4 linked regions of the Oreochromis niloticus genome follow. The protein of the gene in region 4 purifies or fractionates together with the protein of the main gene of each other region. This does not show direct contact. Links are inferred from orthologs where the notes say so. Each region holds a gene or a part of one and is shown on either strand. Other genes may lie near its edges. The genes, in order: cnot11, cnot7, cnot9 and rc3h1b.

The links.
Region 1: the proteins of rc3h1b (region 4) and cnot11 purify together in Homo sapiens (affinity purification with mass spectrometry, with the first as the bait; 4 studies listed by BioGRID). This does not show direct contact. The link is inferred for Oreochromis niloticus from reciprocal best matches to the Homo sapiens genes RC3H1 and CNOT11.
Region 2: the proteins of rc3h1b (region 4) and cnot7 purify together in Homo sapiens (affinity purification with mass spectrometry; 5 studies listed by BioGRID, with this or other methods). This does not show direct contact. The link is inferred for Oreochromis niloticus from reciprocal best matches to the Homo sapiens genes RC3H1 and CNOT7.
Region 3: the proteins of rc3h1b (region 4) and cnot9 purify together in Homo sapiens (affinity purification with mass spectrometry, with the first as the bait; 4 studies listed by BioGRID). This does not show direct contact. The link is inferred for Oreochromis niloticus from reciprocal best matches to the Homo sapiens genes RC3H1 and CNOT9.

What each region holds. Positions count from the first base shown.
Region 1 is NC_031987.2:29,387,730-29,395,497, reverse strand, and holds the start of cnot11 (CCR4-NOT transcription complex subunit 11), read right to left. Parts: upstream 3,014-7,768; 5' UTR 2,807-3,013; intron 2,801-2,806; exon of another isoform or gene 2,626-2,800; intron 2,531-2,625; exon of another isoform or gene 2,408-2,530; 5' UTR 2,386-2,407; coding exon 2,067-2,385; intron 1,852-2,066; coding exon 1,687-1,851; intron 1,509-1,686; coding exon 1,356-1,508; intron 657-1,355; coding exon 454-656; intron 1-453. Other genes in the region: abl interactor 2, read right to left, coding at 6,143-6,318, 6,696-6,878, 7,034-7,114, 7,197-7,361, 7,588-7,768. UniProt on the Homo sapiens protein: Component of the CCR4-NOT complex which is one of the major cellular mRNA deadenylases and is linked to various cellular processes including bulk mRNA degradation, miRNA-mediated repression, translational repression during translational initiation and general transcription regulation.
Region 2 is NC_031966.2:31,931,449-31,939,461, reverse strand, and holds the start of cnot7 (CCR4-NOT transcription complex subunit 7), read right to left. Parts: upstream 3,017-8,013; 5' UTR 2,848-3,016; intron 2,206-2,847; 5' UTR 2,199-2,205; coding exon 2,082-2,198; intron 2,000-2,081; coding exon 1,806-1,999; intron 1-1,805. Other genes in the region: mtmr7a (myotubularin-related protein 7a), read right to left, coding at 6,415-6,750, 7,797-7,923. UniProt on the Homo sapiens protein: Has 3'-5' poly(A) exoribonuclease activity for synthetic poly(A) RNA substrate. Its function seems to be partially redundant with that of CNOT8.
Region 3 is NC_031987.2:6,945,554-6,953,406, forward strand, and holds the start of cnot9 (CCR4-NOT transcription complex subunit 9), read left to right. Parts: upstream 1-4,848; 5' UTR 4,849-5,174; coding exon 5,175-5,192; intron 5,193-5,349; coding exon 5,350-5,535; intron 5,536-6,386; coding exon 6,387-6,502; intron 6,503-7,853. Other genes in the region: usp37 (ubiquitin carboxyl-terminal hydrolase 37), read right to left, coding at 1-57, 922-1,072, 3,566-3,739. UniProt on the Homo sapiens protein: Component of the CCR4-NOT complex which is one of the major cellular mRNA deadenylases and is linked to various cellular processes including bulk mRNA degradation, miRNA-mediated repression, translational repression during translational initiation and general transcription regulation.
Region 4 is NC_031982.2:15,300,160-15,307,951, forward strand, and holds the start of rc3h1b (roquin-1), read right to left. Parts: upstream 3,013-7,792; 5' UTR 2,866-3,012; intron 2,625-2,865; exon of another isoform or gene 1,680-2,624; intron 1,641-1,679; 5' UTR 1,458-1,640; coding exon 1,227-1,457; intron 1-1,226. Other genes in the region: uncharacterized protein si:ch211-13f8.1, read left to right, coding at 4,541-5,750, 7,025-7,097. UniProt on the Homo sapiens protein: Post-transcriptional repressor of mRNAs containing a conserved stem loop motif, called constitutive decay element (CDE), which is often located in the 3'-UTR, as in HMGXB3, ICOS, IER3, NFKBID, NFKBIZ, PPP1R10, TNF, TNFRSF4 and in many more mRNAs.

The sequences.
Region 1 (7,768 bases), on a different chromosome or scaffold from region 4:
ATCCTCAGTAACAACAGACTGTATAATGAATCTCTCTGGGTCTGGGAGTGATGGTCGGACAAAAGATGTCAATTTTTGATGTGGCTAAATATAAAAAATTATCATCTTGTATAAAGATGCATACTGTCCTCCAGTGTCTGGAGAAACAGAAATAAACTCCCACTATCAATCAGCTGTAAACTATCAGGCTTATCCTCTGATTAATCCATCTCATTCCATTTTATTCCTGTTGATTTCACATTCTGACTCTTTTCAAACCATTTTTCAATGTCTTGTCTTAATATATTTGTCTTGTGCTTTTCTCCTTTTTGTGAAGTAGCAACGTTAACCCTGAAATTCCTCTCTGGGTTTATCTAGTTGCACTCCAAAGGCAGCTGGTGGCAGCACCATAGTTTCAGTTTAAATAGAATTTCAGTGCCTGACTTTAAGAGAAGCATTCTGTGGCTGACCCACCTGTGATTGCTGCTGTGCAGACAGCGGGCTCTTGAAGGCCTTGGACATGATGCGTTTGATCTCCACGCCGGTGCTGTTCTTCACACACATGGAGCGATCCCACTGGATGCTGTGATCTGGCTCGGTAGGGTTCAGCCACGCCAGCTCGTCCTCACACACGTGGAGAGGAGGCGGCGGCCGGATGAACTCAGGGCGGAAGTGACCTGAGGATTAAACAACGATATTGAAACACTTGTGATAATCCTGGTCTGTTTCAGACTTAGCTTTATTCATGGGTGGCGGTCTACTCTAGTAACCATGGCTACATGTGTGCCAGCTTTAAAAGGTGTTCTCATGTTCAGAGAGCGATGAATTGTAATATTGGGACACCACGACAAAGAGCTGAAGCTCTGATGCACACACTAGTGAGACTTTCAGGTTCTTGTGTGACCATGCTGCTTCATCTGACTTATGGATGAACATAAGTCAGATGTGCACTTGACAGCTGAAAACCCACAAAACTGCCAGCAAAGCAAAACGTTTACGTGCTTTTCATCTGTGATCTCCTTATTCACACAGCTCCTGTCTTGTAAGCTAGAAGTGAATAACCAGCCCAACGTTTTTTTAGTGATGAGAAACATGATGATAAGACATACTCTTTTCATTTTGCAAATTGCGCACACGCACACATACACAGTGAAATCACTGACTCAGGGTCTTTGTGTCATGTCAAATCATTCTGAAAAAGATGGAACACGATGACCTACCGAGGTGACCTCCTAAATTGATCCCCCCTCCCCCCACCTCCACCTCCACCAACAACAACCGTGGTCAATCCTAAAATCCCTTTTAACGTTCTTTGTTTTCTGCATAACAAAAGCCTTTTTTGAAAAACGAACAAACAAATCACCAATAACACTTACTTTCCAGGGGAGGGCGCGGGCCTGTGACCAGAGACTCTATGATCTGGTTGGCCACAGAGCTGTCGAATCCTGAGTTGGACGAGTCTGGGTCTGGATCGTTGAGAATGCTTGGGAAACTGGCCTTACTCTGAGTGGGCAACTCTGACTGACGCTCTAAACAACAAAGAGACAGAAACAGTGAATTAAAACATAAGAGAAACAAAGTGCACTGCAAACTAAAGAAGAAAAAAAATTGTCTTTTAAAACAAACCAGTATAAACAAGTGACAGTTTTGACCAGTCACACCTAGTCTTTCAATCAGTAGATCATTTATGGGTGAGTGGGTACTGACCTGCCAACGCTAGCTGCAACCCGCTGATGTCTACAGACTGGGGCATGTTGCCAACATCCATGCAGGACACCTGTCTGGGTGTCTTTTTGAAGAGATCCCTGGGAGGTGCCAACATCAGTTGGGACAGGAAGAACTTCTCAGGTTGGGTAATGGGAGGCAGGAAGCCTGGACACCAAACAGATGAGACTTCATAGCCCTCATTCATCATGTTACACAGTCACACCAAGACTGCCAGTGTTACTGGGTGTTTTCCAACAAGAACTGAGCGCAAATGTTTAATTGAACTGAACAAGTTTTTGTGAAATGAGAAACAGTTGGCTGATTTCTTTCTCGGTGACATAACCAAAGTCAGGAAAAAGCGTTTTCACACGGAGACCTACCGGACAGCACCTTCTCCTGCTCCTCTCCGGCAGGTGCGGGGTTCAGCAGGTGCGCGAAAACAGCGGCGAAAGGGTTAGCGGCCAGTGGCTCGGTGCGGTACATCTCCCACAGCAGGTAGAGGGCGATGAGCCGCTGCGGGGAACTGGGCAGTAGGTCCGGTTGCTGCAAAAGCATGACCAACACCGAGCCCACCCTGAAGTGCTCCGCTTTCCCGAAGTAATGATGAAAGTGAGTGGAGAGGCTTTCGAAGGAGTTGGTGCAAGCCTCTTCCGAGATGATGCTCAGCAGGTTGGACAGTTCCTTCGGAGCGAGTGTCATGGTTTCCTCAGCTGAATCTTTTCTGCTTGGGCGGAACCGTTATAAGACTGTATTGTTTTTCTTTAAATAGCTAATATAGCAAATACAGCATCTCCGCAACGAACCGGGTGTGTTTAATTCATATTTGAAGAGGAAATCTGAAAAGCTACAGAATGAAAATAATCAAACGAGTTAGCAAAAAGTTAGCTTAACTAGCATTGCGGCGCTAACTGACATAAAGCGGCATTTTCATAGTCATACCAAATATTCCGCCCCACAAACTCCACTCTGCCCGGTGCTGAAACTGCATAACAGTCTTACAAAAACTAACAAAACATTAACCGATAGAAACATCCAAGTTTGTCCAGGTGTTTTCACGACTGTTGAGAATCGGTGACCGATGTATTAGCAGTTTAAATTCACGACAGTACGTCGGTCATACCGAGCTGCATCATGGGTGATGTAGTTTCGTACAGTGGCGTTTCACTTCCCCCTTAAAATAAACTCGCTAAAACACTTTATATAATCATTTAAGTCATCTATAGGAAAGCAGAAATTTTAGACTCGAAAAGCGTGAAGCGTCATCCAATAAGAGTCACTTTTAAAGCTACAGCTGATCATAAAATAGTGGTTTGACTAACTAAAGAGCTTCTTCCTTTACCCATCAGTCCTAGCGTTACGTTATCATTTCCGGCGTTGTCCTGTCGAAATAAAGTGATCATTGTCGATACACTCACTTAAAAGTGTTCTTTCATTCAGTTTTTTAAAAACCTTTAAGCAGGTTTGTGAATATTTTTTTTTAAAAAAATATTCTCAGTTCTTGTGACCATACGTATTTAATTATTATTTCTTAACTCTTCTGTACGCAGTTTCTACCGTCCAGTCCGATAAATACACGGCAGTAGCACATGCTTATTGTTAAGACATTTATTTTGCATTTTCACTTAAAGAACATTGTGCTTTCAGTCATGTTCACTTTGGAAAGGAGAAAGCTTCTCCTGCGGCCTGTTCTTTCAGGTAGATCCTGAAGAATGAGATGGAAGAAATAAAATGAAAGCGATGATCTAAAGAGAAACCAAAGCTCCTATAAGAAACTCAAACGTGATGAGTGCAATTCAGCAGGGGCGCGTCCAGACTTTTTTTTTTGCCAGCTGATTGTAGGGTGTCTTACTTTCTCTCGTGGTCACGTTTAATGAAATTATTACTAACATAGGAGGGGGGGGGGGGATTTAACTTAAAATATTTTGTGAATCTCAACCCAGAATTGTCCTGTTTAGAGGTTAATGTCTGCACTGAGGGCAATCAAACAGATTCCTGATTTTCTTTTCTTTCTTTCTTTCTTTCTTTTTTTAAAGGCCTTGGAGAAGCTGTCCATAACATTTCACAGTTCATCTCATTTTTTAATCCACACTTTAAAGGGATATTGCAGGCTAAACAAAAACCAGAGTGAGCCAAAGTTTGGAGCAGCTCAAACGATTTGCTGTCTACATTAAAGACATTCTGTCTGAAGGCTGGTGATCGCTGTGTTCACATATGAACTTACACCAGGTTTTTTTGTTTTTTTTTTAACCTTTTCAAAGAGGGTTGTGTGCTGCTTCACACTACACCTTCTGTTCTTTGTGTGCTCCTACAGGGAAGTGTGCAAGTTTCTGATGAGTTGTATCCATTTTAATCTGGACAGCACTTTGTGCTTAAACTTGAAAATACATGGATATATAAATAAATACAATAATATCTGAAAATGTCAGCTTGGTATGTAGGTATTAAAATAATTATTTGCAGCCACACAAGAGAGAATCTTTACCTTACGAGCATCAAGAAAAAAAGTTTTCTTCCTTCAACTCAAACATCTATTAGGGGAAAAACTGTTTCTCATCTTATTTGTTATTTAATTTGGCATACTCTGGTTTCTGTGGTAAAACACCTCTTAAGTTACACTGTACATTAAGGACACACTGTTTTCAGGTCCAAAGTCACTTCAGTCAACAAGGGAACATTTGGTTCTTACTGGTTCTCACACACACGTGCACACAACTCTTCACACACACATATGGCACAAAAATATCCACCTTTTTCTGAGAGTCGGTCTTACGTCCAAGCACACAGGACTTCAGTTAAAGGGCTATTACAAGCAAAAACTGCACAGAAACATCACAACCTCCAGCCGGTCAAACAGACATCATAAAGCAAGCTGGTGAAACTACAGGAAAAGAAAGAAAACAGAATATGGAGAATAAAAATGTCCGTTATATATCAGGCATGCAGTCAAACACACTGTAAACTTAAAAAAACAAAACAAAAACTGATAACAGCTCCAGAATCTCCTCCTGGCGATTAGATCAGGTCCACTTTACTACACGACAACAAAACCACGATGAGGTCGGACACAGGAGAGCTTAGTTCTGCTGTCTGGTCTGACCTCGGTGATTGATCAGATCTCTTGTGGATTAGATAAAATGTTAGTTTAGTTACACACATACATTTATGAAGCTGAAAAGCCGGTTCTGCCTTTGCAGCGTCATTCAACACAGAACTAACAAGAAAACTTCAGCTACTGGAAAACAGACAGTTCCACTTAGACGTCACATCACAGCAGGATGTGTGATGTTAAAGGAACTTTCTATGAGGACAGAAGCTCAGTTTTCACTGAATACTGTCCATGAAGAGAGCAGGATGGCATCCAATCAACTTGCAAAAAGGTCACTCACACAACTTCACTGAGTTTAGTGTTACTGAAGATCTTTGTGCTGTTCGCTTTGTTTAACATAAAAACCTTTCTGACTTGTAGTGTTTTCTTTTATTGTTTCCTTCATGTCAAGTTTATCTCCCAGACTCCGCACTCAGAGAACACCTTCTTTCACCTCATTGGCAGATAAGGCTCTTAGGATTGTTTTTTTTTTTTTTTTTTTTGGCAGATTGGCACCATTAAAAGTGACGCAGGATTAGCTTTTACCAGTTCCACACTACAGTGTCCATTTGAATCAACATCACTGGCTTATGTCTAGATTTCAGCTAGATTTTCTGTTACTTATTATAATAATCACTCTGTTGTGATCATGTCTATGATTTCTAAAAACATTTATGAACATTTAACCACACTTACATACTAAATGGTTTCACATCTGTATGATGCATGCAACATGTGCTGCAAGAGAACAAATTTCTTATGTCAACATCTTAAAATCAATTTCTTGTGATTAAAAAAAATAAAATCAAATGTGTCCTACTCATGTCTTGATCTTCTGGGTGCAGTCATTTATTTTGATAAGTAGGACTTAGATTATTAGGACAATTATCACTTCTGCAGCATACACACATTTGTATGACCGAGACCCGAAAAAACTAAAGTGTTGTCATACCCTGAATGTATGGCAACACCTGTACCATCAAGTCCCACTTAAACATTCTTTTCTAAAATGTGTGTAGTCGTTCTTAAAAGAAACAAAGCTGTTGTGTGGCTGGAAAGCACCGCATTTCATAATTTCTTTGAATTACACTGGGTTGACAAGAAGATACCCAAAGAACTTTACTGACATTTTACTTGCAGGTTGAAAGGTCTCAGGTGTTTTTAAATGAATATCTCACACCTGAAACAACTCTTAGTCCTAAAGCACTCAGGTAAAGCCTGTTATTGATTAAGTGGTCGTTTTGTTTTCACAAGCTCTGACTTTCTTGTGATCAATTAGTGTGAATTTAAGGAGACAAATGGCAACGTGGAACAGGGTCACATTTTCCCTTCTAGTTCTTGACTGCAGCTGTGATTACAGACACGTTTGGCTCAGTCAGCGTAGTGCATGATGGACTCTACGTAGTTTCCAGGGAAGAGACCGGTGGTCGAGTTCATCACTCCTTCAAACCACCCGTCCTCGTTCTTCTTGATGACGTATATGATCGCTCCTTCTTGGAATGACAGCTCGTCCTCCTTGTCGGCCGTGTAGTCGTAGATGGCCACCACTGGAGGGCGACAAACACACCGAAATATGATCACAGAAGGTTCAGTCATTTCACCCGAAGCGGTGCAGTAAATGTAATTACATGCATTTCAGTTTTTATGCACAAATGAAAACAAAAACAAAAAAAATAATTAGCTGCTCACCCCTGTGACTAATGCAACAACTAATATCCAAAGCAATTAATGAGTATAAAAGACATTAATACCTGACTTAGGTATTACCTTAAATCCAAGTTGTGTTATTCTACCCGGAGACGCAGTTTGAGGCTACATATATGAGCAGCTAATTCAAAGAACACTGGTGGAGTGATCTAAGACAACCTCATAAACAATGCTAACTGTAAGTATTTTGTTGCCTCTGTGTATTTCTGTGGCGTACCTTTCTCTAAGTAGTTCCTGGGGGCCCACGGTGGGTCTTCTTCAGCATACGGGTCGTTATACTCCACTACTGCTGAGTCCTCCTCTTCATGCCCATCCTCAGCTGGCTGAGGAGTGGGCAGGGGCTCCTCGTGCGCTACTTGGTTCTCAGTGGCAGGCTGCGGGGGAGGGGGGGCGTCTGAAACTGGAGGTGGGGGATACTTTACATAACCAGAACTGAATCTGGGCTTAAAAGCTGATGATGTCATCCGTTTTGACACACAGATGTTCACGAGAAAAATGATGTGCAGAAACATTTCTCTGATAAATTACTGAAAAAGAATCCAGATTAATACTCACTGGACTCCTGAACTCGAGCTACAAACCCCATCAGAGGAAGCTGAGGGGTGAACTGGAGCAGGGAGGGGGGCGTGGGAGAGGCTGCAAACACAAAAGACAAATTTTTACCAAACTTTCTCAATGTGGGAGTGGAGTGACTGGTGGCTGCTTTTATACTGCATACCTGGGCTCTGGTTGTAGTAGGGACCGCCATTGACCTGATTCTGGGTTGTAATTGGCTGACCGGTCACCGATGGGGGGCGGCGGTAAGGCAGTGACCCCCCCACCTGTGGGGTTTGCTGTCGAGGCTGAGGCCGGTTCATACTGTAGAACTGAGGGACGATAGGGCCTGACCAGCAGAGAGGGGCAACGTTATGAACTCATATTTTCTTAATACAGTGCGTATCAATCAATCAGTGACTCATGATTCAATTCAATTTTAATTTTCTGTGTGTTAAACATGAAGGAAAGAGGTAAAGATTAGCTCCCTGGAGTGGAGATAAAATCCACAGAAACAGAGAGACAAAGGAAGACTTGGTGATGTTTGGAGAGCAGAGGTGTCCCTGAAAACTCACCTTCAGTAGGTGATGAAGAAGAGGAGGAGGAGGAAAGTGGAGGTGGAGGGGCAGGGGGAAGCAGCTCCGACTGGACTTCGGATGTGCTTGGGGAAGAGTTAGAGGGTGGGGAGGTGCCGGCATTTGGCGCATTCGCTTGCGAGTTTGCTTGGGAAGGTGAGCTGGCATGTTGAGAAGGTGA
Region 2 (8,013 bases), on a different chromosome or scaffold from region 4:
AGTCAACTCATGTTTAATTTGGACAGCTTTTTTCTGGGGGACAAAAAAAAATTGTGTAATAAATTAAAGTGCCAAGTCTCAGGATTCATTTGAGTAGGTTTAGATGAATATTACAAAAATGTAAGGGAGCTATAACCCTTTAACACACTGTACCTGTGTAAAAGAAAGCCACAAAACAAAACAGAAATGTACTAGAAGAATATCTTCCATTCAAATAAAAACTAAAAGAAAAAGAAAAAGTTGATTTCCAAAATCAGCTGGTTGGGTCTTTTGTGGATCCGCAGAAAAAAAATATAGATGGTGGCAACAAACTATGAATGCACTTCAGGATGCAGCGTAGATGTTTTTCCTTCAAGAAACGACTCCCTGTCCATGACTTCAGAGGTCTCACCACCGACAGGCTGCAGTTTGCAAAAAATGTACAAAAAGAAATAAAGTAGTGTTTTGGAACCACGTTCTGTTGGATCAAACCAAAATTTACCTCTATTAAAATGATTAAACGTCTCTAGGAAGGGAAAAGCTTGTGACATAAAACACCACATCATCTAACATCGAAGGGCTTCTGTTAGGATTCGTGCACGTAACCCTGCCAAACGCCCTGGCTCACTGGTGTTTATTGATGATTTCACTGCTGGCAGAAGCCGTAAGTTGAATGCAGAGTTGTGCTTACATTCAGCCAATTGCATCAAAACCTGTTGGACGTTTCATTATTCAGCAGGACAACAATCCTCTATGTAAAACCAAAAAGCTGACAAGAGTGAAAAGATGGGAAATTCTCGACTGGCCGAGTCAGCCCTCTGATTGAGCACCACTCCAAAAGGTGGCGGTAGCTGTCACTAGCAGCAAAGAGCTGAAAGTGTGAGCAGTTGAGGACTGGGAGATCATCAGCAGGGAGGTTACAAAGCATCTGCCACTGTCTTTAAGTCAAAAACTTAAAGCAGCCGCTTACAAAACTGCAAACATGATGATTTTGTGTGTACCTGAATAACTTTTGAGCACCAAAACTCTGGGTCCCTGTCTCACACACTTCTCTCTGTAGTTTTAATGCAATACTCAAAATTAAAGCTGAGACTTGGCAGTGTAGTGTAGTATTAGTTGTTTTATTTCAAACTCAGTGTGCATTAAGAAACAGTGCGTAGACCAAAAGCTGTCCAAATATTTACATCCTGCGTGTAGAAAGGATTCATGTCCCGTTGAAGCTGGAGTGAAGACTTTTACACAGAAAGAAACAAACTTATTTTACATCCAAGCCCTTTGTCAAATGCATTCACACAAAGCGGATCAAGCCCATCAGATAAATCTCTCAGCATTTTGTAGTGACAGAAGGATACAGTGCCACACTACAGTAGTAACTAAGGGCATGGCACGGTTTGCTTACTGCCAGAAGGGGCAGACAGCGACAGCATGTCCACACTGCAGAGTTAACTGCAAATCTTGATGCATCTGAATTCAATGAGAAAAATAAAGTCTGATTATTAGAAGGATTTTGGGGGGCTTTGTATTGCTGGTTTTTAGGGAGTCAGAACCCAGTACTGTGCGCAGTTACAGTATTTCACAAGCAAGACAGCATCTCTGCACCATCTTTCCAGCAGCCGTGAGCGCTGTCTTTTTAATATGCTTAAGAACGAGCTGGGAATACTGTAAACAATGGAGCACCTTTGTATGTATAACATGTAGTTTAAAAAAAAAAAGGCAATAAAGGTTTTACTATTTGCACGCACTGATGGTCTGTTATCAGCTGATCAATCCATCTATGGGGCTCCAGCAGGAATACAACAGACAGACAGACTGGATTGCAATCTTACGTGAGGTTAAACTTAAAATTGAACTGCCACGTTGACGTCCCGGGTGGGTAGTCCCCCTGCTCGTTCATAAATGTGAGGCCCAGCTGTATTATCTTGAGCAAATCCACGTTGCAGCGCAGCAATTGGTACTGATAGTCAGCGTTGCTTCTGAACTCTCCGATCGGTCTGGCTACAACACCTGGAAACTCCGTGTCCTGCAAGCAGACGAGTCACGATGAACAACGGGAATGTGGGCATGGGAGGCTCGGCGACTGCAGCTCTACAAGCACCACTCACCATAGCAATGTAGTTGTACTTTCGAATGACATGTCGTATCCTCTTCAGCTCCTCCTCCAGGTTGTTGGCCCAAACCTCACATATTCTTTGGCTGTGATCCACAGTAGCTGCGGGCATAGTGCCACTTCACCATGCAAGGAGACAAAGAATTGTATTGGAATATAAACACAACATCTGCAACGTGGTGCATAAGTGTACTGTCACAGGTCAGCATATTTTATTAAAGGGGGCTGAACAAGTGCACTTTAACACCTAAACCAAAGGCACAGAAGGACTCCTGACACAGCACTTGCCTGAAAACAAATGAGGCTTCTATATTGGGCACAGGAAATAACTTTAGCCTGCTTGTGGTACACTAGGTAAGCTAACTTTACTCGCAAGTAGTGTTTCTATTCTAGTATAATGTATGCTAACTGTTGTTACATAAAGGGAACCAGTGGGAGGAGCAGCTATCTCCTCATGATGAGCAGGACGAGCTTAGCCGACTGCTCTTCGCATTAGCTCGGGTTTTCGGCAGCACTTCGGCTAGCTAGGTTACCTGCAACAGTTAGCAGGCTGCAGAGCTAGCATTAGTTAACACGGGCAGGAGGAATAGGAGCTCTGTAATGCGACAAAGCAGCTCCTGTAGGTGGACAGCTAGCTCACAGATAACTGAGACTGTGTGCAGAACATGAAAGAGACTGGTGCAAGCGCGCACACACACACACACACATACACTCGGCGCCACTTTGATACAGCAAAGGTGAACGTAGCTTCGTTAACTTACCGTTCCCCAAACCGGGCGGGTGTGTGTTTTAAGCGTGTACTATCAGAAAACTGTTAGTTTGTTCCACGTTATTGTGTCGGGGGAGTTTCCGCTAACTTTTAAATACTTTATATTCAGTATCTATTGATGTCAACCTACGGCTGCCATCATAGCTGAGCCTACAACTGGACGTCATCACGTAACACAGCAACGTCATACGCGTATATACGTGTGTAAGTATAGCTTAAGCACAGAGCCCTTGAAAACTGTACTCAAATTTCTTTTACTATATTAGATATGCACTAGTGCTCCAGTATAATGAAAATAAATACATGAATAAAATTCATTTCAGTAAATAAAAACACAACAACGACAACAATAATGATAATTATAACCACAACAATAATAATAATGTTGTTGTTATTATTATTATTTACATTTGTCAGCAAAGTATGAACAACAAAATAAGACCAACCCAGAAACTTAAAGAATCACGATCAAAACTAATTTGGTTATGATTGTGACAAATATATTGCAGCATTTTATTCTCCTGATCCAATCACATACATTTAAGAATACTTTAACCTTCCTGTTAACTTAACTTATTGTTTTGTTTGTGGGTGCGGTAGTGCTTGTGTGCTACACGTAGGATTCTGATGTCTTCTTCATTATCTCTCTCTCTCTCTCTCTATATATATATATATATACACACACAGTTGAGGGAGCTGTGAATGTTTTCAACTTTTTGCATTTAAAAATAAAAAAACAAACAAAAAAACGTGACCAACTAAGTTCTAGTCTTGTGAGATACTCCAAGTTTTGATATGGATCCCAAACAGTCTCTGTATTACTGATACCATTAGCGATAATTTTAATTTATACCAGCAGCTTATGGACGATAGAGCAGTGTGTCATGATTTATAAAATTGATTAGCATCAATTTGCAAATTTTGAACACATTTTAATGGTCACTAAGTCGTCACAATAATTAGTTTACAAAACAAAAAAACATCATTGAGCTTTTCATGTATTTGAAACTGGGTTTTATTGGAGACCTGGAAGGTAAATGTGCCTGTCTCTGAAGCACTGTAGGTCAGCTTCTGTTGTTTAAATGTGATATGGGCAATAAATAAAACTGACATGACAGTCAACACAAAAACATTCAGACATCTTTCATAGTGCATGTTTGATATATATATATATATATATATATATATATATATGTATTTTAAAAACCAATATATATGCAATTCAGTGGGCTACATACTGAACTTAGAGGATAGAAACAAAGCCTCGATCCTATCATGCTAGTATCATCTGATACCAACACCAGCACTGATATAGATGCTATCAATATTTGGATTGATCTGCCCACCTCTACTATTCCCTTTCCATATTCGTTACTATTCCTATTATAATTTTTAAAACTTTCTTTTGTTTTGCTTTGTTTAAACATAAAGAGGATTAAAAAATGATACTTAGGAAAACGCCAAAACAAAACTGGAAGCCAGCTAAAAGCTAAAAAATAGTTATATATAAACACATGAACAGTCGCAAGCCTGCAGTGTGGACCAAATCTGCCTCTTTTAGAAATTAAAGTTACTTATGTCCTTCCTTCACCTTATATGATAACCATTTGTCCCAGTCTTTTAAAATGTGCTTTTTGTCCTTGTTCAGTTTGTAGTTTGAGTTCTTGCAGCAGCAGGATCCTCTCAACAACAGTCAACCGCAGTCTTTACCTTCTGTTTTCAGCACTTAGCCAACTGTCTGTTCAGTTTTTAGTAGAGGTTTGGTTTAATCTGTACATTTTGGAAAGACTACAGTGACAAACCAAAAACTCACACCCATAATAAATAAAAACAGCTGAATGAGCCATGGAGCAGGACTGCTGGCGGTGGCAGCGCTTCAGGGTCTGGCTCCCCACCAGCACAGCTGTGCAGATGTTCGGCAACAACAAGGAGACTGAAGCCTTCATCATTCATCCCTAAAATGAGGGGCAGTCTTTACTGCCATTAACTTAACCTGACTGATGATGTAATGCAAATCTGTTTTATGGTGATTAAGTCCAAACATCAAATATATTGTTGTTTTCAGATTAAGGATTTGAGCCTTGCTGCTTTGTGTAAATAATGTCAGACTGTGCATTTATGAGGCAGCCTGCTCGAGTATCTGACTAGAGAAGCAAAATTAGATCAGGAGAACGGGTGACCTGAATACACAAAGGCTCTCTTTTTGTGCAGTGGCTGTATTTACTTATACTGTACTCCATTCATGAATGAGATACTGTAATCTGACTCTATTCCCACTTAAATAAAACAAGAACAATGTAAGTATATGGCAGAAAACTGACTTAAATTTACATAAGTTTGCCTTTCGAGCACTTTTGCAAACCTATCTTGATCCAACTGAACAAATGAGGGCAGCGTCACAAAGCTTTGAGGCTTTTTTCTGGTATTTTTTTTTAATACAAGGACAGAATTTGGTATGACTCAGACATTTTAGACACTGAAAAAACAACAACAAAACAAGCATTTAAAGCGAGGTCAGAGGAGACAAAAATAGGTTATAGTACAAAAATATTTTCACATGCTTTGCTCGGTAATCTTTGCACTGTTCTTTAGCAGGAGTTCACCAAAACAATAATGGGTACTACACTACTATAGCAAGCAGCTTTACTGCCAGTTGGACAGCTGAGATAACACAAACACTCAAGGAGTCTCTGTTGGTCATCTGCTGCCCTAAGCAGCACCCTGTTTGTGTGTTCACTTGCTCCGGTAGTTCAGTCGTGCACTGATGTCGAAACACGCTGCACAGACGTTTATTAAATCACTTTGTCTTTTCAAAAGCTTCCTTTTACATCCCTTGGCGGTAAAACCCCGTGAAATCCTATAATATGCTGAAACATGGAGGAGTGGACCACAAGGTGCTGAAAACAAACCACTGACCGCTGGTTATTACAGTGTAATGACTCCCAGCCCCAGCTGAGGTCACTGTGGGCTGCAGAGTGAGTTCACTTCAGTCATAAATATAGTCCTTTGGGGTTGAAGTGCTGCTACATTTGGGCATATCTGAATCACTGCTACTCTTTCAGCATTAAATGTTAACTAATACCATGTATTACTGGCCTTTGTTCAGAGCACACATCATGTCATTTTACACTGTTAAGGTGTTTACATTGTAAAGCAAAATATCTACTGAATACCCGCACGGAAGAGCAGAAGCAAAAGCAAATAGAAGCACTTAAATGGCTTATCATTAGAATTACAGTAAACTGCAGAGAGTCAGTCTTGCTCCTATTTTCTGGTGAATATGGATTAAAATGTCCAAAAATGTAAGCTTTCTTTGGACTCTTTAACTGAGACAAGGTTAAATACAGTCAGCTACAGGAAACAACTATGAACACGAAGGAATGCAGGAACATGGAAAGTCCACCATGCATGCAAACAAAAGTGCAAGCAAACCGTGCAACCCAAATAAGACCCGCACTGAAATTGGCCAATAGTCGGGTCACACGATCAACGTAATGGTAGTGTTTGTTCAGTGTTGCTCAGGTGACGTCTGGCCGGCGTTGCGCCTCCCACCCAATCCTCAGGCAGCCGAGTAGGCTGCCTCATCGGAGTCCGGATCCCTGGTGCTGTCCTCGCTGAGAGGTGAACGGCAGCTCAGGTCCGCGATCCCAGACTCCTGGTCGCTGCCGTTGGAGAAGCTGGCGTCAGATATTTGGTTTGTGCTCTTTGGCAGGAGGATGCTGTCTGGTCCTTTAGGCTGGCAGGGGCTGCCGGTGATGAAGCCGCCGGTGTAGTCCTGAGGAGTGTTGGCTAGACTGAGGTTGTTACCAGGAGCCCACACCGTGGGGCTCTTATCAAAGGTGGTTGCTTTGCAGGAATCACTGCACTCCTGCTCCTGCTCCAGCTGAGAAATCTTCTATTGATAGTGTAAGAAATGAAGACAACAGTCATTTCCTATAATCACAAAAACATCCAAGTGGAATTTTCTTTTTTTTCCCCTTTGACTTGTAGTATGAATTCACAGTGATCAGCTATAATATTAAATTCACCTCCCTAATATGAATGCAGCTGTCAAAACATCTGCGACCCATCCAGAGATAGGCTCCAGAACCCTTTAATAAAAGTGTCCTGTGGCATCACATTAGCATGGAATAATATTTATGTCAGAAGTTATCAAAAGGCTCCAAAACTTGCCCTAGAATATCCGATTTGAAAGATTTCTTCAGCTAATCCAGTGCCAGTTTTTAGTATATCCACTGCCACACAGCAAATGATATCCTTTGATAGTTAATTCGGCAAACTTCATTTTCCAAATTTTAAACAAAAAACTTTTAAAACAGCGCTAATTTTGCTGTAACTCAATTTAACACAGTTGTCGGTTCGTGGCAAATCTGCTGCAGTGCTTGCAAAATAGACACTGTTGCACACATGATGGCCTTTTTGTGCGCAGGTTGTTAAATTTACTCGCAAGGAGTTACGTTTTTTTTCAGCATGCTGCACATACTGGAGAATTTGGGAAGGTCTGGGGAATTTGCTGGGCTGCATTATCCTGCTGGAAGAGGGAATATAACTGCCGTGTTGGGGTGAATGTGACCTGCAGCAAAGTTTAGGTCACTGGTTGCCAAAGTAACCAGTGACCTTTGAGCATCACACCACCTCAGCTAGTTTGACTTCCTCCCACAGGTCACCCTGACAGTATCTTCAGGTAAACACAACATATGTCAGTGTAAAAGAAAAAATGTGATCAGACAAGTCCTCCTTCTTTCATTACTTTGCACATGCATACCACAGTTTGTAGGACCACAGGAATCAACATGGGAATTCTGACTACTCTGCTGCTACATAGCAAGCTCCAAAACATTGTTTTATTATAGCCACCAGGTTTTCAGCAATTTCTGTTACACCTATGACCTTTTTTAAATGGTTTTAAGCTTGTGGCTGATCAGCATAGCCCTGTCCTACCTGTGTGTGTGAAGTGAGCTGCTCCTCCAGCTGCTGTGTCTCCTCCTGGATGGCCCGTAGATAATCCTCTACGGATTGCCGTGGATGCATCCCATGGTCAAAACGGTTGTACAGCCCTTTCCAAAATCTCCACAAAGAAAGAGAAATGCATCAGCAGAATAAAATTTCAATGAATGTCTTTACCTTTCACATAATGATTATCTTCCTGATTACAGTG
Region 3 (7,853 bases), on a different chromosome or scaffold from region 4:
TCACAGAGCGGTTAACGAGCACACTGAAGTTGGCACTTCCAAGGGATGATTTTAAAACTGCAGCATAAACAAAAAGTTCAGGGGGAAAAAAAGCATAAAAATGATTCCGTTACATTGTAGAGTCAGAATCGCTTCAAGTTAATCCATGTGCTTGAACTGAAAAGAAAAAAAAAGAAAAAGAAAAAAAATAACACTGCTGCATTGCCCTGATGTTAAGTTTGAAGCACATTAAGCCCTAAAGGCAAAATAAAGCATTCAGATCATAGATTTAAAAGCAGACTAACACACACCATACTTCACAACAACCTGTTGCATAAGTCTTCATGACAGCTACAGATGTTTTGTTTATTTAATAGGATAAAAATGAATCCTGTTCTTCAAGCAAACTGATGACATGCAGAGGTGCAAGGCAGCCCAGGTGGAGAAATTTTGTTTTTATACTTCGCAACTAATTTTATTTCTCTATCTGATAAGAAACCTATTCAATCAGATAGTTATTTGTGGTGAATGAAATACAATTACACTTTGAAGCACAACATCTGAAATTCAAGCACTTTTCAAACCTTGAAAAGACAAAATTCAAGCATTTGTAAGGATAAGGATTTCAAGCACCTGTACGAACCCTGTTACTGGCATTGGGTATCAATTAAATGTAAAACAAATAGATTAAATCACTAGTACGTCTGTTATCAACTAGTGACAATAGCAACAATTAGTCGACTGGTCAGCTAGACGCGCACATCACTACTTGAAACTCTGCATCAACTTGAGAAATATTAATATATTAACATGAAGATGCAGAGAAAAAGTGACCATTCTCTGCAGGAAGAGCATACAAGGATTAATTCCTAAAAAATTTAAAAAAATCTTTGCAATTTTTTTTGTTTGTTTTGTTTTTTTAATGTGCAGGGGTGTCATTACCTGGCTTTCCTTGCTTCAGCTTTTCAAGGTATTCTTTAGTCTTCTGAACCAAAGGTTGAGGCATCCTGTCCAGCGTAATGACACTGTTATCCTTCAGAGTCAGGACGATGCGGTTGACATTCTGGCTAATATTTTTCACGTTCTGGTTCAGCTGAGGGCAAAGAACAGCAAATACTCAGATTCATGATGATTACTATTACATACAATAGTAATTAATACATTATCATTATTATTATTATCATCATCATCATCATCGTCATCCTCCTCCTATCATACTTGTTGATAAAGTATACCTTTGAACAAACTGGCTCACAGTTCTATTAAAGTTCTATATGACAAACCTTACTCAATCAGCTATTACTTTCTTCGATAGGTCTTATATCAGGGGTCCCCAATCTCAGTCCACGAGGGCCGGTGTCCCTGCAGGTTTTAGATGTGTCCTTGATCCAACACAGCTGATTTAAATGGATAAATTACCTCCTCAACATGTCTTGAAGTTCTCCAGAGGCCTGGTAATGAACTAATCATGTGATTCAGGTGTGTTGACCCAGGGTGAGATCTAAAACCTGCAGGGACACCGGCCCTCGTGGACTGAGATTGGGGACCCCTGTCTTATATCATGCTATCTGAGGAGTGAGGTTCTTAGTGACTAGAGACTCAGAACACGTGAGTGTGATGACAAAGTTTGTTTTTGTTTACTTCTCTTGCTCCAGACTCTTATATGTCTGTGTGGAAATTATAACAGTCCTAAGGGTTAGATTTGTTGCCTTTCCTAGCAATGGAGCAAGACAGATTCATTACAATGTTAGAGCCTCCAAGTTTTCCAGACTTCCCTACAAACTTCAGTTATATTGTGTCGGTAGGAGGGGATCGAGAGAAGGCACACACACTTCCTTAAAGAAAGTAATAACAAACTTTGTGTGAATGGGTTAGTTTGAGTTTCTGATCTCTTAGACAAACTCCAGCCTCACTGTCTTAACTCTTTCCCCATCAAAACAACATTTGACAACCTCCCCTGCATCCATAAAGATGAGTTTTGACACCTTAGTATATGAATAAAGATGTGGTTTGCATAGGCAGAGACCACCCTCAATAACTTCCGATTTAAACCCAGGCATTTTGTTCCAAAGGCAGGCCTAAAATATAACAGAAATCGCTAATCTAATAAAAAGAGCATCAAAGGTTACTCCTAGTAGGGGGGAGTTAAACAGCAGCAGATGCTGTGGTCCTTGTCCTGCATGGCCTACTAGGCATGAACCAGTTTATCTCCTGATGCAGGTCTGGGTCAGAGTGACCCACCAGGTCACAGCAGATCAGCAGAGCAGAATAAGGACTAAGATAGGAGTAGTTAAGTTGAACTGCAAAAACAAGAAGTTCACCAGTAGGGAAAAAGAGGACAGGAAGCTAGCCGTTTTAGCCGTTTGAAACTGAACTTTCAAAATAAGAGGACGGGTAATATTGACTATTAAAGTTATCAAGCTGTTTTTTCTGACAGAGGAGAAACTTCAAAGAAAGCAGAAAATATATAGTTGTTACTGTACATCAGTATGAGTGGGGAAAACTGCATGTGAAGTACATTTAAGACTTTCTAAAACCTGAAAACACACATAATTGCAGCACAAACTAGAGTTAATTTTAACTTGTACAACTAATTCAAGATTGACTGGGTGTCTATTATATTCTATTCTATTTGACTGCCATTTACGAATTACGTGCTTAATTATTCTTTTCAGACCCAATCACATCAGTCAGTCTGAAATATTTTAGTTCTGGAATATGGGATCATATAAAAGAAGTACAGGCATGGATTAAAAACACTTGACCTGAGGGCTGAACAAACCCTGGCATGTGCCATGGGTGAGATTATGTTTCTAATCCGGTTCATTCATGGCTTCAGTGCAGAGCTACTGCTCATTCATTGCATAATGCCTCAAAGCCGACAGCTTAGATTCTTCTAGTACTGACATGAATCAGACATGTAAGACTGATTTATAGGGTGCCATTTAACAAGTTTGTTCCTGTAATGCTTTAACAAGAAATACCATATTTTATTTTCCTCATTTAGCCATCCATTAGTAGGAGTCTTTTCAACCAAGAAAGCAACTCAAATATGTGTGTGTGTGTGTGTGTGTGTGTGTGTGTGTGTGTGTGTGTGTGTGTGTGGAGTTTCTTGCAGGATTAAGAGGGTTCAGTGTCTTTTCCTCTGTTTTTAATCAGCTGTTTAATTTGCACGTCTGGTGCATTCTTACATTTTTTTATAACGTTCCTCTCGTCCAACACATTCACTCATACACACCAAAATAAGGCGGTGACATGACTCACCCCAAGGAATCTTATTTTGACATGTGAATTGACCCAACAATCCCAAGAAAAACAGGCAACCCACAGTACCTTCTGAGCCAGCTGACCCAGATAAAACAATACTCGATCTGGATGCAGTGGAAAAGATTGCTAGATTATAATAAAAAAAGACCATCAAAATCGAAATCAGTACCTCTTAGGACATTAACAAAAAAATAACAATAATAAAGACCAATGTGAAAGTAAGACATTATATTTGGGGTCTTCTAAACAAGCCATCAACTAGTGTTGATTTAATTAAGGCAGAAATAAATATGAGGGGAGAAAAGTAGCAGTAAAATACCTGGAAAGTTTTGGAAGCTCCTCCACAGTTGAATCTCAGGCAGAGGTTAACTTTATTGTCCTTTTCCAATATCTCAAACGTTCCTTCTTTCCACCTGGTGGTGCCCAGGTCCAGACTGGTGAAACGGATCTTCACAGCCCCACCGCTGGAGACTTTGGGCACTACAGTTGCCATGGCTTGCTATCCCGTTGGTGCACTTGGGAGACTGGGACTCAAACTAATCCTAAAAAAGACAAATTGGATCCGCTGTCACACAATCTGAGCACATTATATTTATAACAACTGAATGTGTCCAGCAGGAGCAGTTTAAACGAATGGTCAGGTATGAGTTCTGAAGTTGATTACTCTAGTTAAATACTGCAGGAAAGTAATGAGCTTAACGAACAGAAGCAGCCACTAAAATGAACATAGCACCTCTTCTTGTAATAACACTAACATCACCTGTAACCGTCTCGGTGAAAGCAACTTCAAAGTTTCCGATGCTAAGCTCAGATAACGAGAGCAGGCAACCCACGTTGTCAAAGTCACAAGAAAGTACAAACCATCCAAAAACAAGCTGACAGGAGTCAGCGCAGCATCTCGCAGCAGAAAAGCGGACAGCACGCTCGCCATGCATTTCTGACAAATAAAACAGCTTTTTTGGCTGCGTGTGGCAGCTCGCGCCTTGTGATTTTCTTTGCTAGCAGCTTCAATAAAAGCCCATGTTTGCATCTGCCATCAAACTAGCCAAACTAACGGCCACTCTGAGTCGCGGCACCCAACGATTGGTACGTGCACAACAACACGGGATGCTCCCTCTCAGCTCAAGGCATCGATGCTCCCACAGAATTACCTGTTCAAACCGGTAACGCCAAGAAAAGGTGATAGCCAAAAGTTAAAAAGCCCCTTTGGATGCGGATAATGTCGTATGCTCGTCCGCAGCCCCTGAATGGGATGGAGGAGGCCGACGTTAGCACCTCGGCTAAAAGGCTAACGGACGCTAGCTAACTGGCTAATTTGCTAGTCTGTAATTTGGTGATGAAAAGCGTATCGCGTTGCGATTACACCGAGCGGGTACTTACCTATCGATGACGAGAGCTTGTCTTCAAACTTCTAAAAATCCGGTGCCGCTTCTGTAGCTGCTGAGCAGGCAGAAAGTTTGTTTTGCCGGCATTCACCTGCTCTCCGGTGCTGTTGACAGCAGAGCAGCACACGACGCGTCGCTGAGCTGCGCGATGATGGCGGGAATGTGAAAATTTACAACGGAAGTAATGACCGAGGATCTTCATCTCGCGATATTTCACTTATTTGTATTAAGGCTGTCTACGGGTCTGCCAAGCTAAGCCTCGCTTTAGTTTTAGTGTGAATTACGTTTAGTTTTGAGCTAATTAGTGTGGTTTAAAGCGCACAAATTAGACTGATAGTATTCATTTTCCCTTTATTTCGGCAAATTTGAAGTTATGTTAATGTACACGGGTACTTGTCTTCATAGGCCAGGACATTTAGCAGTCAGCTCGGGCTAGCTTCGTGCTAGTTACGCCAACTTACTTGCATTGCAACCACGTTCACCACACTTAATCAAATTTAGTTGTTTATAACGACATAAAGACGCCACAGAGAGCCTCGGAGAATGCTTGCAACGGGAGCGGTGAGTGTAATTTCACCTTACTTTGCTTTGAAGTCTCGAACCGTCTTAACATGGAGCTTCCTCATCCTTTTGTTTGATTTACATAAAACATTGACCACCCATTCTCAAACACAGACCCAAGACGACATGCTTTTTAAACTCACTTTGCCTTTTACAGGCTGTATCTAATGTCACAGCCCTGGCTCAGGTAGACCGGGAAAAGATCTATCAGTGGATCAATGAGTTGTCCAGCCCAGAGACCAGAGAGAATGCCCTGCTGGAGCTCAGCAAGAAACGCGAATCTGTGCCAGACTTGGCACCGATGCTTTGGCATTCCTGTGGCACTATCGCTGCTCTCCTGCAGGTAAGATCTGTTGCCTCTCTCTACCTGTTGGAAATCAGGATCTCTCTTTTTTTCTTTTTTTTTGTTAGGGTGTTACTAGGAATTTATGCTTCAAATCAAACCTGAATCTTTAACCCTATGGCATAACTGGACATGCACCCTTCTAGAAATTTAACACACACAGCATCCACAGCACGTACTGTGATTGGCCTATCCAGTACTATAGATTCCCCCTGTTAATTTCACCTTAGTTTTTGAATTTCTCAGTGACAGAATAACGATCATCTCCTCAATATAAGGGATCTCCTCAATATAAGGATTCACAAATGTCAACAGATTACTGGAGAAAGATATATAGGTAATAAAGTACCAGCATTTTATTTGTTCCTGTCGGCTGGCTCCACATATAAAACACCAGAAGACACACTAATTAACACATAATGCACAAAAACATAAATGATGTTGACAACATGGCTACTTACATAAGCTACGCCATAGGCTTTACAAAGATTCAGCACAACCATTAGTGTCAGGGACTACAAGTCATGCCATGTTTGCACAGCAGCTAGGCCTTACAGACCACTCACATGAAGTGAGCTACTAAACCCTTCTTCATTACTCTGAATTATTTTGCTATATTTATTTTTATGTACATAATATGTTACATTGGTACTTGTTGCTTGTTGTTAAGAGCTCTTAGTATATTTTAAAACTTGACCTGAATTTATAAGACACTTCCAGGGCACTAGGTCTTGAAATGGTTGTAAGCGTTTTTTATCTCTACCTACCATTAGAGTTTATACCACTTGTTGAGTTCTGTTTGCCCAGTGTCGTTTGCTGTGCACCATTGATGCATTCCTTTCTCGTTGTAGGAAATAGTGAACATCTATCCATCCATTAACCCACCGACACTCACAGCACATCAGTCTAACCGAGTGTGCAATGCCTTGGCACTCCTGCAGTGTGTTGCCTCACACCCAGAGACACGGTAAGGGGACAATTAGAAGCTTTAATTGTGTCACACTAAAGAAAAACCTTTACTGCAGAGCAGAGTAATACTAAAGAAAGCCTTTAATACAGAGCAGTTTGAGTTTTATCCACTTTATTTACCTTCATTTGTTCTGTTTCAATCAGGAATTTCAGAAAACTAAACTCGAACCATGCTTCTTTTTTTATGTTTTACCTCACCTTTTCTTTTCACTGATACAAACAAGGCTTTTAAGCCTTAAATGAAAGTAGGGCTGCCACAAACGATTATTTTGATAGTCGACTAGTCACCGATTATTTTTGCGATTAGTCGACTAATCAGATCATGCATCGATTGGACGTAAAACTTACAGCTTGAAAATATGTTAAACGTTTATTTTGTGACCCAGAAAGAATAATAAGAGTAATATTAAAACTAACTAGCTGCCGCCATTGTTGACAACTGCGCTGGGCCGCACTATAAATTCTGGGACACAGCTTCTTCTTCTTCGGGGTTTAACGGCAGCTGGCATCCTTTACATGCACTGCTGCCATCTTCTGTTTCAGTCCGTTATTACACTTTTAAATCCTACTACTTATTCCTGCGTCTTTTGTGATCTTACAAAGCTTCAAACGACGCGTCGACTATTAAATCAGTCGTCGACGATTTTGATAGTCGACGTAATCGTGACTAGTCGACTAATCGTGGCAGCTCTAAATGAAAGTACCTAATTTTCCACACTATAAGGCACACTTAAAATCCTTTAATTTTCTCAAAAATCAACAGTGCACCTTATAATCCGGTGCACCTAATGTATGGATTCTGGTTGTGCTTACTGACCTCGGACCGATTTTATGTTGTACACGGTAGAGATGGCACGATACCACTTTTTTATGTCCGATACGATACCGATATCATAAATTTGGATATCTGCCGATACCGATATGAATCCGATATAGTGTGTTTTTTAATCAATAAAACTGTTTTTTAATATATTGCTGCATTTTGTATAAGTTCATACTCAAGTTTAAATAAACAACAACACTAAAGCTATTCTGTTATACCTGTATGTAAAAAAATACACTGCGCCCAAAATATTTCATAGTTCAGCAATACTGATCAATCTAATAAACTTAATCCTCCCTATTCTGGTATTTTAAAGAGTACTTAGCAGAAATATTAAGCAACCTAACTAATAGGGTTGCAAACTCCCAGGAAAAAAAAAAAAAGGGAACCACCCTCCACCTCATGATGCTTAATTGATGTAATCAACTTTAATTTGATGCAGGGTGAAAAAAATGCACAGAAATCAATTATTTTTCAAGAATAATTAAATAGATTCAACATCTTTCTTCAACAGAATTGCAGACTG
Region 4 (7,792 bases):
ATGGTTATTCTTACGGTAAGAAACAATTTGGACTGAGGGCCAATTTAACACGTTACAACTCATTTTGCACAACAATTAAAATAATCACTACTTAAAATATATTACATTTAATTTCAAATTATGTGGATTCTCACTAATCGCTGGTATTAGAATGTTTTTTATATTTTAGTCACAATTGTCTTTTAAGTAATCAGCTGAAGATTGTCAAAGACCCTCAAAACCAGGCATTTTCATTTGTGCAAGGAGTTTCACTTAACTATATTCTAACAGCATGTATTGAAATATTAATATGCTGAGATGCTCTCATTAATGTTAGCAAAATCTCTTGCTGCAATCTTCCACAAGCAAAGCTCACAAAGGCTAACGTCAGCACATTAAGGCCAATTCCGAGAAAGGTCATAACAAAGCTGAGTGCTACTTGATAATGTTTGCCACCATTATTATCACTCAGTCTGTCCAAATACATGTGTGTGGGGCACACCGCGTGTGGTAGGGATAGTCATATTTTTCCACCATAGAAGCAAATTTTACATTACTAATATATATATATATATATATATATATATATATATATATATATATATATATATACATATATATATGAATAACCGACTTCAACATCAAACAGGGAATGTTTAAGGAAGTCCTACCTAGTTAAACTATATTAGCATAAATGTGCAATAAGACTAAGATCTGTTTAAGAGACAAGCCATACCAGTCATGATGACTAGAGAAGACACATTTCAGCATTACAAGTGATGCAGTGACGTTATCCATTATTGCAGTCTTAACTTAGAAACTTGGCCAACAAAGCCAGACACCATTAGCTGTGCCTCACCCTGTTGGTATAACACTCCCTCTGAGAAATACGGCTTTAGTGAATGCGCTAGCACTCAGTAAAGCAGCATAATTCAAGTCATTGCTCAATGACTGCAGGGTGACTCAGAAAGAAATCCCAAAAGTATGTACACCATGTAGTAACCCATGTGTGACACAAATACAATCCATAGTAATTACAGAAAACGTCATCCTTTAAAACCAGGATTGGTGTCTTAAAATGTTTCACTACTATAAAAAAAAAACAAAAACAAAAAAACCACACCCATGAGCTAGTATTCTTAACCACAAGATAGCGTCAACAAAATCTCAGCACAGGCGGTATAAAGTCAGATCTCTGTACATTTGTTTAGCAATTTATGACAAACACACACAAACAAAGGTCTTACCTGGCCTCCCACCAACTGCAACAGAGCCGTGTTGACAGGTAACTGCTCGATGTCTGTGCTGATGGCTGTCTGGTCAAAGGGACAGGCCTTTCGGTGCAACTTGTTCAGGCACATCTTGCAGACTGTATGTCCACAGCCTAAGCTGATGGGCCTGCGAACAGTTTCCTCAAATGTCTGTGTGCAGATCGGGCACAGCAGGAACTCTGTCCATTGTGGTGCTTGCACTGGCATGGTTATATGTTGATGGGATGGGTGTGTATAAATGTATGTGAGCTTAATCACAGAGGAAAATATATAATAATTTTATATATATAATGAAAGATTCCACTGGAATCAATTTTTTTTCTTCCGAACTCAATCGTTCTTAAATGTCCTCACACATTGTGGATTGTGGATCACATCTCGTGATGAATACTGTAAAGCAGAAAGAGAAACGGAATTATAGTTGTTGCCGCATTCACAAACTGTCGTTTTTTTTAATAAAACGTGTCATACTGTTATTAGTTTTACATCAAAACATTGTAGAAGTACACTATAAAACATGGCTACACTGTGCATGAGTGCATTTGCAGCTGAGAAATGCATTCTATGCCGTGTGGTTATAAAGCAGGTTTCCCGTGGAACAACTAACCGCACTGAAAATATGCCTCTTCCTGTCAATTACGTTGTTCAAGCCCAACAAAACAATGTAACGGCAAATCAGACGCGACACAACACATATTTGTAAAGTCGGAATCAAACAAATGGTTGAGATGGACCAAAACAACTGCGGCGTGGCCTAGTTAAAAAAAAAGAGAAAAAAAAAGAGCTGGTTATCACTATGACTATGGACAAAGGGTATAGGATAGGCTAACCACCAAGTCCCTCTAACTTGATATAAAGCTAGCGTCTGGTGATAGTGCTTGATAATATTGTACCAACAATGCGCTGTTGCCCAGTATTTTTTATCCTTGCTGTGACCATCTCGGTGTTTCGTTATGCACCCACTAATCTTACGAGTGATACGAGACGCTTTTATAGCTAGCTAACTCTAGGTAACGTTAGCTTACTTTTAGCATCGGAAGCTATGGGTGGCTAGTTTCCTAGCTTAGCTACGGGCAAACGTCGTTTGATCAGCAAACAGTTGCTTAACGACCTGAAACCTTTCGCTGACCGACTGTCACACAGTTATTGCTCTGAATATAGTCACAGTTGCTCATACGTTACAGTTTTAATGATATTAATTATCCTTCGAGGAGGCGCTGTTCAAGGAAACGAGATCTAAGAGACACAACAAGTCAGATTATGTAACGCTAGCACCCGTAACTTCAAAGCAACGAAACTGTCCCAAAATGTCTTTATATTCACCAGACACAGTGACAACAACTCGATACCAGAAAGTTCTTAAGAACTGACCAGGTTTGTGCTTTAGTCTTGTTTTGAGGGGCACATAACTCAACCGCTCTTGTCGTCGGAATGAGCACAGAGGGCTAACATGCTAATGAACAAATGTTACTCTCTCCACTCTCTTAGCGCTTAGCTTCTTAGCTAGCTCGCTAACAATCTCTATGCGTCACTAATGTGCCTAAAACTAAACATGCAACTACTACTTTGGGTTTTTTCACCGAGCAGATAAATCGTTATTGTCGATGCTACTCACTTATTCCAAAAGACTTGGAAGTTTTTCATCTTTTTTTTAGGAAATTGCTGCGATATTTTCTTGCCATGTCGACTGTGCAGCTTAGCTGCTGCCAAGGTTTGGGAGAGGGTGTCAACTCGACGACAGACTCGCTAGCCGGTTACAGCTAGCTGGAAAAGATGTGTGCGTGCACGCGCGTTTTTTTTTCTTTTTTGCGTGTGCGCGTTTGGATTGTGGGCAAATGGCGCCCTCTGTTGATATTGAGCCGCACACACAAAATACCGAAACTGGGCAGGTGCTGAGAAGATCACATCTGGGAACATTTTTCACAGTTAAACTGCTGAGTTTGCACGAGTGCATATATATTAAATATGTTTGTGTATCTGTTTTCGAAACATAGACAAAAGAAGGGAAGAGGAGAGCTCAGACAGATTAAAACAGAGGGAGGGAGCTGTATTGACAAATAAGAATCAGCTGACATTTGTTTTTGCAAGACAAAATTAGACCCGTGCTCCCTAAAACGCAGCATACCCCACTTCCTTGCAATCAGAGTCACCGAAATAAAGACTGAAAAGTATCTGGGATATCTCATTTGGGCGAGAGGTCCCCAAGCCATTTTACTAGAATTGTTTTCTCTTTTTCATTGGGTTATTATTATTTTTACAGCGGGGAGGGAATCGGTGTGTGTGCACTTGCGCAACACAGAGCTCCACTCGACGTCGGGTTCGTGAGGCAAGAGCGAAATTAAAGCAGGCATTTTTTTTATTCCATTTTTGTTTAATCCCACTGATTTCTGAGGGGATTATCAGACCAGGCATGATTGAGAGACCGCTGACTCGCCTGACACCGCTCGGAGCTACGTAGAGCGACAGAGAGAGAGGGAGAGTGAAAACAGAACCTCAGAATCTGGAGAAACATTTGGAAATCTTGTTATTATCATTATTATTTCATCCACGGGGACGTCGCTCGTCTTGCCAGTTGGTGACGCGAGGATGCGCGCTGCAAAAACTGCACGCTTGGCGCAGCTTTTTATTATGGAGGGCAACTTTAATTTGTGCGGTTGCCCCAGAATTTATGGCAACTTTCTCGTGACCATCGACGCTGGGATTGCATGTCAAAGTACGCCGTCTTCAGTAAAAGTGCAGGTACATTAAAAAATGTTTGTTAGCCTTCTAATAGCGAAACCAACCTGTCTCTTAATGTGATGAGAAGCTACTTTGTTAATGATAATGATGTGTTAAAATTGGTTTTATGGAGGCGGTTTGCATAATTACCAACAGTAGCCTGTACAAAACTGCCACTGTGCGTATTTCTTATGGGTAAATAATGAATTTTAAATACTTTAACTGATCCCCCCCAGTTTTTCTATAAATGAATGGCAAACAGGAAAAAAAATGGTTTATTATTTCTGATATATACAACCAAACATAAACATATAATACTGCTTATTCCCTGTAGGGTCTCAGTTGCAGGCAGCAGTTGCTTATTCTGATTCCAAAGGATTATCCTGTGCCCTGCAAAGTAATCACTGGATAAGGCAACGTGACAGAGTCCACATTACATATCTCCTTACCCGGCACACAGGAAAAAAGTATCTGGTAACAGAGATGTAGAATACACTGAATAGGAAATGTTTTTATCTTTCTTGTTCTTTATTTTCAGAATCTCTTTGGACTTTCTTGTGCATGACTAGCCAATGGAGGAAGAGAAAGCCGCTGATAATATCCAATCAAAATCCGGCTCCCCTTTGCCCACCGGGCTTCCCATAAACTGGGGACTCATTACTGGGCCTGTTCCTGAGCCTGTTTTCCCACCCACCACTACTTTGAATACTTCTCTTCCTCCCCCTGCTCAAAGTTCAGCTGTGCACGCCCTGCAGACCAAGGTGAAGTCGATCACGCAGAGAAGAACAAGGGGAAGAGACAGGGAGAAAGACAGAGAAAGATTTGACACGGAGGTGCTGGTGAGCAACCCAGCGGGGCACATTTCATCTGAAGTCCTCCTTAGACAGAGACCCAAAGTGAAAGGCCAGCTGTTTCTGCCTGCTCCCTCCTGGCGATCAGGTGGTGCAAAGGACTTAAGCAGCAGTGATGAAGAGGAGGAGGTAGAGGTACAAGTCAGTCTGGAGATCCACAGTCCTCCCGCTGAAGCACAAGTTGTACAGCAGGGGGAGGAAGTGGAAGAGGAGCAGTCAGAAAACAATGATGGACAGGTCAGTCATCCAACAGGTCAGCCTTGTGGGCTTGGAGAGGGCACCAGTCTGGAGAGTCTTCTGTCTGACAACTCAAGCACTAGCAAGGATGGCCCATCCCCTTCCCCTCCTCCTCTTCCACCACCACCTGTGCTCTCCTCCAACATCTCTGCTTCTACAACATCGTCCTTTACTTCCTCCACTTCTTCTCCTTCAGCAAGACACTGGGCCCCTCCAAAGGGCTTCTGGAGAGTAGCACGTCCAGAAACGTTGCTTCTCAATGGGGTTGACCCTCACAATACACCCCCCACATTACCACTAAAGGACTACACTCGGACAGAGGCACTAGCAGAGCCTCAGAGGAAGCCTAAACTGGCTGAAGCAGGCAACAAGAATGATGTGGGAGGTCTGGCGAATGACTATGATGTGTCTTCTGAAATCCAAAAGTCTGATAGTGTGGAGTGGTACCTGGACAAGTATGAGCAGAGGGAGACAGATGTGACTGATCCCAATAAAGGACTGTGCAGTTCAGACAGCTCGGAGAGCATGTCTTCACAAAGTGGAGTCCTTTGCGCTGATGATAAACTGAGGGTGAAGGAGAGGGCCTATGCAAAGTTAAGGGAAAGACAACAACACTACAGGGAAGTGAGAGAACTGCACGAAGGAGAAATCACTGGCTATTATGAAGAAACAACGTACAGAGTGGATTATAATGGTAGGTCTATTAAGGAAAATAATAGAGAAAGCTAAAAAGTAATGCATGGAGCCATCTGAGAAGGGCTTTAGTAATACTTTACTGATAAATAAGCTGTAAAGTGTTTTGAAACTCCTGGCCATGGCATGAAATACATAACTTTACTTTTGCAGTATTATTATGCTATACAATAATAGCATTTTTAGTAGCGTGCCTTTATTTAAAAAAAGAAAAAAAAACACATGCTGCCATATTTATGACAACAATACTTGATATAGTTTCAATAACAGGTTGTGACTTAGTCATAATTTTTTTCTGTATTACTTTAGCTTCCTCATGAAGTGTAGTCGAATGTTATGAGCTGGATCAGCTCCTGTGGCGTGTTAGCATTTTGGATGAGGACAGAAAATGTAAAATTTTGCATTTGATTTTTTTTCCCTAACAACCTTCTAAAGCTGGAAAATTGTCAATAATTTATGCACATTGTCTGCTTAGAATGATTTCCATCTGTTGCAGCCATTTAAAGTGCCCCATTCAGCCGTAGTCTGCCTACCTACAATGTTGTATTGAAACGCAGAATGTAACCTGGCTGGTTCCCAGTGCTGAACAGATGTCAGATGTGCAGATGTGCATGCGGGTGTTACTATTAATAGAGCAGTGGGGGAAGTGTCCCTGTCTTTTTTATCTCTGCCGGCGCGCTAATGGATGTCTTTGTATGTGTGTAGGATGACAGATGATATATTTTCCCATGCAATGATCATGTAGTATTGCACAGATCTCAGTTTCAATGCCCAGTACGAGAGATGCAGGTGCAAGTCCGTGATGATGAGATGATTTTGCCCTCTTGTCTCTGGGAAATCTGCTTTTATCCTTCAGCAGTTACATAATCTGTGTATGGGTGTGTGTGCGTGTGCGTGTGTGTGTCTTGTTTTGTTTTGGGTTTTTTTTTTTGTCCGAGATTAAAGATGAGTTAGGGATGACCTCCGAGACTGCCACTGAGTCTAATCTGAACGTAATGTTATAAGGTTTATGAAAATCCCTTTGATCATAGCAAGTCCCAATTTCTTTGATACCCAAATGTCCTTGTAGGTCACGTCATGGCTGACTGCTCTCTCTGCAGTTGTGTTTGCCGCAAGGCAAGTCCTAAAAAATGGAACATTAAACAATAATTTAATGTGCTGTAGCACATTATGTCTGGGTGAAGGAAGAAACAAAGACAAGAAATCCTTTTATCTGGAAGAAATTTTGACTGCGCTCTTATATATGCTCATATCTTTTTCCTTTTTTAATGTCAGTTGCAGGTGCCCATCCTGTTTTGGACACCTCAGACTCAGCCATTCTGGCCCAGGAACTTGAACCCTATTTAAGGTGAGCAATGCAGTTCCTGGCAAGGATAGTGACAGATAATCTCTGTGGACTATTTATATCCTCTCCTCATAAATTTCACTTTTACAGCTGCACTTGAGAAAATCTACCCAATGAGGCAACTATGCCTGGTGCACAATCCAAACAAACATTTTGATAATCGGGTTTAATCACAGGGAAGAGATGATGTCGAGTATTATCAAAAGCAGTGCACTGGGGATACTGAGCGAGTATCAATTATGTGTTATATCTGATACTCGCTCGTCACTTGTTGACCTGACACACTGTTATCTTTTTTCACCAGTTGCACTATTATTTAAAGCCATCCTTTTAATAAAGGTTGTTATTTTGAACATGGTTATAAACTGTAGAATAAAGAGCTGCATATGATATTTAAAGACAGGCTTCAACTTTGTTGATTTCCTTTTTCTGGTGTTTGAATACTGCGGTGACACAACAAACTGTAATCTAGTGAAAGACAATATGTTCTCATCTTGTCATACAGGAGAGAATGAATCACACTTAGTCCATTACAAAGATAATCCACGTGGCTGGTGTATCATGCTATCTTTATCACTGGGCCAGGGGATAAAGAGAAGTACAGACGATGAAGCACAATGCAGAGCGGCTTAGCTGCTGGGCATAAAGATGGATGGATGAATGGATAAATGGATGGATGACATTCCCCTTTGCTGCTG